Schizosaccharomyces pombe: one gene and its partners. The protein of the gene in region 3 purifies or fractionates together with the protein of the main gene of each other region. This does not show direct contact. Each region holds a gene or a part of one and is shown on either strand. Other genes may lie near its edges.

Region 1 (3,758 bases), on a different chromosome or scaffold from region 3:
ATATAAATCTACCTTGAATAAGTGTGAGTGAATCAAATATTTTAATCATAATTACCAGCTTAAACTTATATATAAAAGTAACGTGTCACTTGAGAACCTAGCAGCTGTAAAAATTGCAGTCCTTTAAGTTTACTACTGTTCTTCACCAGAACTAATTGTTTATGGTTTGAATTTCTATTTATCTATTTTATTGAGCGTTTTAGCATGCCAAAATTTAAGGGCCCTGGACTTTCTGTGCTGAAGAAAAAAATTCGCGACAATGAGAGATTATTGAAAAAGGTGTGTAATTTTTTTGCTGGTTTAAAAACATCTGCGGTTTCAGTGTGTAATAAATATTACCTTCCTTTTTATGTTAATGAATAAGAAAACTAACTTCCTTTAAGGAGAATTTGCCTGCAAACATTCGTGTTGAACATGAACGAGCTCTTTTGGGTCTACAAGAGCAGTTGTCTATGGCACAGTTAGAGCATAAAAAGCAAAAGATTTTTGAAAGATACAAAAAAGTTCGATTTTTTGGTATGAAACATATATAAAAACAGCATTTTTTGTTCAGTGAACTTGCTTACTGATTTTCTCAGAACGTAAAAAAGCAGAACGACGTATTAAACAATTGGAAAAATCTTTGAAGGATGAAACTATGGATGATGAGAAACGCAAGCAGTGTGAGAAATCGATGCGTAAATGTCAAATTGATCTTATGTATATTAAAGTATGTTTGTATTTTCGACTTCATTTCAACTATCAACTTGGCTAAGATACTAACCTATTTAGGAATACCCCCCTTTAACAAAGTATGTTTCACTCTACGCAGAAGGCACATCTGAACAGACCGAAGAAACTCGAAATCGCATTTGGGCCGAGATGGAAGAACGCTTTAATAGTGGCAGAAAACACAAAATACCATCTTCAGGTTCCAACAGGGTTCCTGTACAGGAAAAAAGTTCAACTGGTGGTGATTTGGAAGATGAATTTTTGCAAAGATAAATGAAAACTTGGATTGAGGTTTTGGAAATAAAGGGATTAAATAGACGAAACTGTAATAATATGATTCATTCTTTTTAATAAAGGTTGTGAAGTTTCCATATGAGTTATCGAGCAAGGTATTCTTTTTATGCAAGTTTATTTAAATTTTTTCTATGTCATATTGCAATGGGATTTGCTAGGGTACCAAAAATAGAACTTGTGGGAGAGAAGCTTTTGGATCCTAAGGTTCACTGAAGATATTTTTCACATATTTCATTCTATAATCTAATATGCTAAAATTCGAATGATATTTCATGGAATATCAAATTAATAAAAATATAAATTTACAAGAATTTAAGTAAAAACAAAAAATTAGGACTTTCATTTTGTTCTGTTTTAGGTGGTCGAATTATTAGACAGTTTAATAGTCTTTATCATTGCAGCAGTGTTTTTAAGAGCTCTTAGATGGACTTTCGGTTTTATCATCACAGTACCCTGTTATTTGCCTGGCAAAAAGTTACCTAGTGGGGGTTTAAAAATCAACACCAGTATGTAGTATATACATTTTATAATAATTATTTTTACATTTGCTTCTATAGATTGGTATATTTGAATTTATGGGTTTAAGACCTCAATAATATGGTGTAGTATATTGACTTTGCGCCCTTGGTGGTGTCCACGGATACCTAACCTCCGCACCACACGAAGTTACGACTTGTTTAGTGTCGATATGGCTGAGGGCACAAGCCAAAGGCCATTAACGCCTTTGTCGCAGGCATTTTTGTCAACTAATACTCTTTCTCCTGCTTCTTCCCCTTTAACTTTCCATTCTGAGGCTGCATCTCTGCGTAGAAAACGGTCCAACTTTTTCCCCAAATTAGATGAATTAAATGGAGCTCAAGATGAAGAAATGAGAGGTCTTAATATTCCTGGAGGATCAGGATATCTCGAGAACCGATATGGTCGTGATAAGTTTACGTTTTCTGATGCAGCCGTTAACAGTGCTGGAATGGGAGGGTCTGGCATATTTTCCCACAACAATGCAGATGATGGTTTGGGTGATGGTTCTTCTACGGTTTTACCAAGTTCCCTTAAACAAATGCTGGATCCTGAAATTTCAACTGCCAATAATCCATCTGCAAAGCCTCGTCGAACTCGTCTTCAAACTGCTTGGAAAGAAGCAACTAATTCAGCAGGCCTTTCTCTCCGGTCTGCAAGTGCTTTAGATGTACTCAAAAATTCTGGACCTGCTACTACCTCATTACTTTCCTCAACAACATACCCTTTTGATAGTTTAAATGCATTCAACGAACCATCCCATTCACATGTACCAAACTCAGCTTCTAGCACTGCTCTGTCTAGAGGTATGAGCAACTCTGTAACTTTGACGGCACCCCCTGAACCTGATGAAGAGACCATTCCTACCGCGATTGTTATTAAAAATATTCCATTCTCCTTGAAGAAAGAAGTGTTGTTTAAAGTGTTCACTGCATTAGACATCCCACGTCCATACGCTTTTAATTATCATTTTGATAACGGAGTTTTTAGGGGCCTTGCCTTTGCTAATTTCCATTCTCCAGAGGAAGCCAAAACGGTTGTGCAAGTTTTGAATGGCTATGAAATTACTGGTCGTCGTCTTCGTGTTGAATGGAAGCGTCAACTACCGCCTGCGGAGCGTGAACGTGTTGAGCGTGGTAAACAAGAGAAACGCGCTGTAGAAGAACGAAAAAATCAATTGAAATCTCCGTTTTCTGTTGCCAATATAGGTGCTGGCATTGATTTTGATTTGAATGATCCAGCTATACTCAATGTATATTCTCATATCTTGTTATTTTATTATCGCAGCGATAACACTAATGATCTTGTATTTGATTCTTCAACCACCCAGGAAGAACGTCGGGTTGCTGCCTTATTAGCTTCCCGTCTCAATCTCAATCATTCAGTTACTGGTGACGGTGAAGCTAAGCAAGTGGTTATTACCATGCCTAGTACTCATTTTACTCCCGCTAATAATTCGAGTGCTAACCACTCTCCTTTGATGGCCCCAAACGCCAGTACTTTAAATCCTTCTTCTTTAGGTGCTTCCAATTTGAGCCAACCAAGTCTTGCAAATCACTTGAGCTCCTCTGGTTTATTTGACAATGGTCTTTTCTCGTCCGGTGGTCTTTCTAGTAATTTTTCAAGTCTTAGACGACCCGCTCCCTCTATGCATCTTGCGGATAGCATACGTTCTCTCAGAGGACTAAATGATTCTAAAGCCTTTTCCGACATACGTAGTATGCCAGCTACTCCGTTAGAACTTGCTACTCCTTTTGCTAATTTAAATGTTTCCTCTCCACTGGATCGCAATGCGACTAATTCATCAAATACTTTAAACGGTAGTGCGATGAACGATTATTTTGCAAGCCTTACTCCATCAAACACCGGTGCTATTGGATCCAGAACTTTTACAAAGAATTAGTCTTGGATTTTTTGTTTTTCCCTGCTTTTGATTAATCTTGTTTTGGCTATGTCTCGGGTTTTATTAAGTTTCATTTACCTTACGATAATAAGCGCTTTCAAGCAAATTTATACTTTGTACATAAAAACGACGAGTGAAATTATCTCAATGAATTATCCATTTTTACGACCTAGTGTTCAATTGAGGACATGATTTTCATGCTTATATCGTTTACATACTCACTTCGGATGTGCATGTGATCGGGCTCATGCTTTTAAACTATAATGTGATTCTTGTAAAACGAAAAGGATTTAATTTAATAGATGATATTTTTCTCTCTTCAAAGTCACGTTTA
Region 2 (3,758 bases), on a different chromosome or scaffold from region 3:
AGTCCAATTGATACACGAGGTTCACTAAGAACCACCGTAAAAATGCTTAAAAAAAGGAAGACTAGAGTGGAAAAACGAAAAGAAAACATGAACGACTTAGATTATTAACAAATTAAACGCGGGCTTTGTAAGATTTGAAATGAGTGACTAGAAAAGAGGGACTAGGCGGAATTAAAAAAAAACAAAAATAAAAAAACTTCAAAAATTAAGTAGTCCGCCTCTCGCATCAGATAGTTTTCGCTCAAAAATTGGAAACCAAATATTGTACAGAACAAACGCAGAAAGTCAAAAAGAAGTAGAGACGAAACCTGATTCAATCGAATAACACAGGCTGGTCTTATCGATCAAATTAAACGAAACCGCTCTCTATATGACAACTTTAACCGTGAGAGCAGTCAAAGTACGTTTCTTCTACGAGTGTTTCTTATTGAAAGTATAAAGTATTCTGGGTAAACAGCAAACTGTGGGATGAATAACCAGCATCGTGAAAGTGGCCAGTTTGGGGAGTTTTTCATAAACTTAGCGTATATGCCGGTAACCATGTTATAAACAGGCACATTACTTGACGGGAAATCGTTCCACGAGTCCCCAAGTGAAAGAAATGTAAATATAATAAGCGAAATTGTCGTGGGCATCAGTACTATACAAAAGTTGAGGTTTTAGCTCAGACAACTTTTTACCTACTAAACCAAACCTGGTTATGAGCAACAGACCCTTATTATAACATTAGCAATCAACAACAAAAATTTTTATAGTATTGATTTTTGATATCTTGCGTTCGTTCCGCTTTATCGGAAAGACTTTGGCAATTTTACCGATTCTCTAGAATCATGTAAAGTGACGAAAACAGAAGGCAGAAAGTCCAACCAAATATGGGCAAAAAAAACAACCACTTCAATAAATTGTTCCAGTTAACAGCAGTTTAGTTGTGTTCAAGTCAATTACCAGCGTTTCGCGTGAAACGTTACAGAAGTGTAAATAATGAAATACTGTTGCTTTCTCTTTGACTCTCATTCTTACACAAGGTCACTTTGCATAGTAGACCGTTGAAAAAGTAAAAAGGAATAGAGGAGAAAACAAGATTTGATTAATTTTTAACCACACCCAACGTATCCGCAAAATCTCATTGATTCAGTAACATTGACTATATGGTTCTTTCGGTAAGTTTGACTCGTTATTAAATAAAAAAAATAGAGGCAAATTGTTTGAATTATGTTTGCTATCAAATGATATCCATTGAGTTAAAAAGTACGCGATTTGATAGTCTCATGAAGACACACATAAAGAGAGAAAAATCCATCAACTCCACTTAAATTTAAAAAAAGGTGAGGTACATATAGAAACTTTAGTACAATTCGTATTGATCGCCTAAATCAATATTTTTGAAGTATTGAAAGTTCAAACATGCCTTACAGCTCATTTCTCATTACTTTGTAAGGTAGCTGGCTAATGACAACTATATATAGGCATTGAGCCATAAGTATGCTAACTTTCACTATTCATCGCTTGGCAAATCTTTTTCTTTATTAAATGTATCTCCTATAAACGTGGCACTACTTTTTTGAAAGTTATAAAGCACGTTGGGAGCTAATTTCAACTTTATAAACTTCGCAAAAAGTGAAAGAAAACACAAAGGTATAGATAGTTACAAGCCGCATTGCTAAGTTGATCTGATAATTCTTAACATCTAACGTAATCGAGTGTGTCGGAATAGTATTTATGAAAACTGTGAGATATCCCACTGAAAATGATTTATGTTGTCAAAAGCATCGTTAATACACTTAAGAATTACGCATTTCCTCGTGTGCCTTATTCGCAATAATTCTACTGTGTTGCTCACACTAATGCTAACAAGTACGGAATCCTAACTTAGGTGACCTAGCGTAATACTAGCTTCATTTACCAGTTGTTGTAATGCGTGCATTGATTTTCTTTCATACATTCTTGCAAGTAAATTTCCAAGTAATTTGAGGATTTATTTATTAAATTATTTCTCAAAGCTGCGAGAGCTTTTGGATTCATTCGAACAGAATTCATATGTCCATTATATCCATACAACTCGTACTCAACACCACTTCACACATCTGAGTGGAAAGTTGTTTATTATTTTCCAAAAATGGCCCTTTTATCCGAAGAACTTTCTAGGTAAACTTATATTTTTTTCTCAAATTCACTAACAACGCCGCAGTATACTTCCAAATCCTGATTTCGACGATGAAGAGGAAGATTATGTGGAGAGGGAAACATCACATGCAGATGAAAGACAAATTGGTGTCAAATTTCACATTCCTCCCTATGGACAAAGAAAGGGATGGTTTCCTTCTTCACCTGAAGACTTTGGCGATGGTGGAGCTTTTCCCGAAATCCATGTAGCACAATATCCTTTGGATATGGGCAGAAAAAGGTCAGCTAAATCTGCTGGTAATACATTGGCTCTACAGGTCACTTCTTCGGGCGCTGTTGACTATAATGCCATTGCTCGACAAGGTCACGAACATGGAGAGTTGGTACAGGCAAGCTTTCGAGATTTGATCCCCTTACGTGCACGACTAGGTGTGGGAGAAATTTCGTTAGAGAAACCGTCTGACGAGCAAAAGCAAGAAGTAGCGAATAAAACTAAGCTTGCCTTACAAAAAATACTTTCCAAACAAATCGCTCAGTCTCAACCTAAAAGTGCTGTGGTACAACAACGTGACGATCCTGTATACATTCGATATACTCCTAGCAATCAAATGGGACAAGCACTTAGCAAACAGAGGATTATCAAAATGGTCACAGCTGAACAGGATCCCATGGAACCACCAAAATTCCGTCACAAAAAGGTTCCTCGTGGACCACCTTCTCCTCCTCCTCCCGTCTTGCATTCTCCTCCACGAAAAGTTTCTGCTCAAGAACAACAAGATTGGCAAATACCTCCGAGTATTTCTAATTGGAAAAATCCGAAAGGCTACACTATTCCATTGGATAAGCGGCTGGCCGCTGATGGTCGTGGTCTTAATGATGTTGAAATCAACGATGGATTTGCCAAATTTTCTGAAGCATTGTACACGGTGGAGCGTCAAGCTCGTGAAGAGGTCCGATATCGTGCCATAATGCGCCAAAAGATGGCTGAAAAGGAAAAGCAGGAAAAGGAGCAACGTTTATTTATGCTTGCTCAAAAAGCAAGGGAAGATCGTATGGGTAGAAATGCGGCTTCTTCGGGTCCTTCACATGCAAAACCCCGCTCTACTTCTGTCTCCTCTGAAGAAAGAAGTCGTTCCAGAGCTGGATCGTTCTCGCATCATTCAGAGTCAGAAAATGAAGATGAGGATTCAGAAGCTTTTCGCCGTCGTCAAGAACTTCGCCGCGAGCGAAGACGCCAAGCTGAAAAGGATCTTCGTCTCAGTCGAATGGGTGCTGAAAAACGTGCTAAGCTTGCTGAAAAAGATCGACCTCGTGATGTCGCTGAAAGGGTTGCTTTAGGACTTTCAAAACCATCAATGTCAAGCGATACAATGATCGATAGTAGATTATTTAATCAGGCTTCTGGCTTAGGATCCGGATTTCAAGACGAAGACAGTTACAATGTGTATGATAAACCGTGGCGGGCGGCACCTTCATCAACGTTATATAGACCGGGTGCTACTTTGTCCCGTCAAGTTGATGCATCTGCAGAATTGGAACGTATTACTAGTGAAAGTCGTTATGATGTACTAGGAAATGCGCATAAAAAGTTCAAAGGATCGGATGAAGTCGTAGAGGTATGTTTCAATATCTTA
Region 3 (3,412 bases):
AGAGCCGATGGTTGCTTTTTTGGCGAACAAGATACACTTTACCCACATCACCCTGACCAAGAAGACGTATTTTTTCAAAACTATGAGGTGTGACTTCTACTCGGCTAATTTTTGTACTATTCCCAGAATAAGTTCGTTTGCCGTACTCAGTTCTTCCAAAAATGTAGTTGCCGGGGTTTTTTAAAATCTTGACCTGTGCCTTTCGAATATTGCTCATATTAATTAAAGGACGAGGAGGAGGCGCTTCTACTCCTTTGTGAGAATCAGGTGCGGAAGATACGCGTCTAAGGCTGGGACGACTATCCAATTGATCGCTACTATCATTCAGATCTAATTCATTCAATTGATTAACATTAATATCAAAGGTTGAGTCATCAGAATCATTATCCCTCTGATCATTTCGGACACTAGTAGAAACGGTTGCCGCTCGATTCCTACGAAAGTGAAACAAATTTTTCAGTTTATCTGAAAAGTGCGACTGGCTCATACCATCATCGGTGGAAGAGGGACTTTTGTCATTAAATTCAGTTTCTCGAGCCATTCTAAGTCATCCATTAATCTCGTAGCGCTTCAAACATTCACCGGTTAATAAATTTCGCTGACGGCTCACTTATAATACCTAATATAAATCAGAATGTAAGCAAACTTGAAAAACGACTTCAAAGCTCCCAAATAGTCTAATATAACTAGCCGAATGGTATTCCTCCTGCTTATATTAATTCTTGTTTCATTTGGAGGTGTCGGCAAAAGAATAGTTAGTGGAGCCACGGCCATCCTTATGTTATATAATCCTCTTTTTAAGCATATAGAAATAAACAGTCATATTGTAGCATTAACTAACAAGCAGCTTCAAAATACTTAGTTGAAGCTATTGTAAATAAAAGAAAAAACTTGTTTTTGGTTTTTATGTGTGGGTATTGATCTGTAGTTTTGTAGTAAATTCAGTTTGAATAATTCTTACTGGAACAGAATAAGTGTTAGAATAAATGCAGTGATTTTTAATTTCATATTCTCAAGAGTGACTGTATGATTTATAAGTACACGAGCTATGGAAGCACAACATTTAATCATGTATTTCTTCCACTTTCAACTACAAAAGAGGCTACTCTAAACCCAAACATTATCCGAAATGTCGATGTACATTTGTCGATATCGCTGGCATTTTCAATTAGTCCGACTCATGTGGTATTAGTATGAGGATGGATAGTTGATTCGATATTAGAAGCTGTCATATCAATTTAAATATAATTTCTTAGCAGTGCTTTCATTGAGATAGAGCAATACGATAGAAACAATCTGAAGAATTCATTAAAACTGTTACATTAAAAAACGACTTGATGTCAATATTGTTTTTGGAATGTTTTTCATTAAATGAGAAAACAAAAAGATATAGCAGTTTAGTAAGTATCTCAATGCAATTTTTTAATAGGAAAACAGGTTCCTTAAGCAACTCTGAATAATTGTAAATAACCTGGTTTCAAACTTTCGTTGGCGGTTTGTGCTCACGAAGTCAAATAGGGAGGCAGTATGAACATTATAGATGAGTTGAACTAAAACTTTGAGTGGAAAACAATGTGTGTTTCATCCAAATAGTCGATTGCTTGTGTTTGTTTTTGAGAGCTCAACAGATAAAAGAGTGTGTACCAATTTCTGACAAACTTAAGATATATATTTGACAACAATGAAAAAATGTTTTATTTAAAGGTGTCAAAACACACATATACAAAAATCATTTATTCTCTGTTTTCCCAAGAATTTTCTAGTACGAAAGCCGATTCTTGAACATGGAAGTCGTCAGTCAATTATCAAAGTATAATTACGCATAATTTGTTTTTTTTAAATCTAAAAAGTAGAAAAAGTGAGTATTTTTTGCTTATTGAGTCAAGATTTCTTTGTATTTATTTATGTGCTTACTATCCAAACTCTACCACTTTGCTTCTTCTCTTGACGTGTCATATTCTTGGTTTTTACATAATTAACTTTACATTATTAGATTCTAAAACGTTAACTATAACATTTTTTGAATAAACAATAGTGAAATTTAGGATTGTGAGCGTTTTGGATAATTTTTTAGGAATTTTAAATCATACTGCAGTAACAGCATAAAAAAGGCATTTTCATTACAAAAATTTCATGCGTCTTAATGCTGAATTTTTGTCTCAGGTACCCTCATTCATCAGTCCTTTGAAAGAAACTGAGCTTGATTTAAGATATGTTTAAAGAAATTACTGTATGCTACGTGTCATCCAGCTAACTCATAATTACAGGGTATCAGATTCCAATAATTGAAAATTTAGGAGTGTTAAGGGACGTACACGATGCAATTGATTTCACAGACAATGACATTCGATATTTAGGGAATTTCCCTCGTATGAAAAGGCTTCAAACGCTTTTGTGTGGAAATAACCGAATAACTGCTATAGCCCCAGACATAGGTAAAGTTCTTCCGAATTTAAAGACTTTATCCCTAGCACAAAATCATCTTCAAGAAATAGCAGATTTAGATCCGTTGGCTAGTTGTCCTCAACTCACTAATTTGTCGTGCATTGACAATCCAGTTGCTCAAAAACAATATTATAGATTATATCTTATATGGAGAATTCCTTCGTTACATATTTTAGATTTCGAACGGGTTAGAAGAAATGAAAGGCTTCGTGCTGAAGAAGTGTTTGGTCAAATTCAAAACCCTACAGAAATAGCTTCCTCTATTATGGGTGTGAAAAGTCGAGTATTTGATTTGGCTGCATTGGTACAAAGCCACCCAGAAGCGAATTCTCCTATTACAACTGGATATACACTTACACCTGAGGAAAGAGAAAAGATCAAAGAAGCCATTAAAAATGCCTCTTCCATTGCTGAGATAAATCGACTGGAAGCTATGCTATTAGAGGGGAAAATTCCAAAATAAAGTAACTCACAAGATTTCTAGAAACCGCATAGTTATATAATACATTTTTTCCATCTCATTTCTTGCATTCGATAGGTAACGCGTTTAATAGTTATTTAAGGCATCAAATCGTTAATCGTAAACAAAAACCGTCAATTCTTTAATGCTGTAGCAATTTAGCAATCCTTTCGTTCCTCGTGAGTAATCAGAATTATGCTGTATTCATTAGCTTTAAATAGTAATGATAATCTTACCTTCCAAATATTCCGCAGTGACCAATAATTCTAAAACCATCTCAGGTGGGATATCGAACTTTGGAATATCTAATTGATTTTTATATCTGTAATTGTAATGCAAATATTCACAAACTTTTTCCAACAGTGTTGCCCTAGACACCTTATTAGAATTGAATGAATAGACCAATTGCATACCGTATATCAGGAAATGTGCATTCATTTTTTTGCGCCTCAGAAAATATTCCTATACATTAGAATTACTTTACTAAATATCATTATCAAACCTTCG

Evidence for each region.
Region 1: the proteins of lea1 (region 3) and cip2 purify together in Schizosaccharomyces pombe (affinity purification with mass spectrometry, with the first as the bait; one large-scale study listed by BioGRID). This does not show direct contact.
Region 2: the proteins of lea1 (region 3) and prp45 purify together in Schizosaccharomyces pombe (affinity purification with western blotting; one large-scale study listed by BioGRID). This does not show direct contact.

What each region holds. Positions count from the first base shown.
Region 1 is NC_003424.3:343,065-346,822, reverse strand, and holds the start of cip2 (RNA-binding protein Cip2), read left to right. Parts: upstream 1-1,651; 5' UTR 1,652-1,693; coding exon 1,694-3,424; 3' UTR 3,425-3,758. Other genes in the region: efg1 (rRNA-processing protein), read left to right, coding at 205-279, 384-516, 579-709, 772-984. UniProt on the Schizosaccharomyces pombe protein: Regulates global gene expression after oxidative stress. Interacts and stabilizes mRNAs and may regulate their transition between different cytoplasmic components after oxidative stress.
Region 2 is NC_003421.2:1,500,576-1,504,333, forward strand, and holds the start of prp45 (Prp19 complex subunit Prp45), read left to right. Parts: upstream 1-2,067; 5' UTR 2,068-2,116; coding exon 2,117-2,145; exon of another isoform or gene 2,146-2,188; coding exon 2,189-3,740; intron 3,741-3,758. Other genes in the region: SPOM_SPCC188.14 (uncharacterized protein), read right to left, coding at 396-635. UniProt on the Schizosaccharomyces pombe protein: Involved in pre-mRNA splicing.
Region 3 is NC_003423.3:4,144,785-4,148,196, reverse strand, and holds lea1 (U2 snRNP-associated protein Lea1), read left to right. Parts: upstream 1-1,926; 5' UTR 1,927-2,133; coding exon 2,134-2,214; intron 2,215-2,275; coding exon 2,276-2,908; 3' UTR 2,909-2,912; downstream 2,913-3,412. Other genes in the region: serine/threonine protein kinase Ppk22, read right to left, coding at 1-541; elc1 (elongin C), read right to left, coding at 3,099-3,103, 3,142-3,275, 3,319-3,367, 3,408-3,412.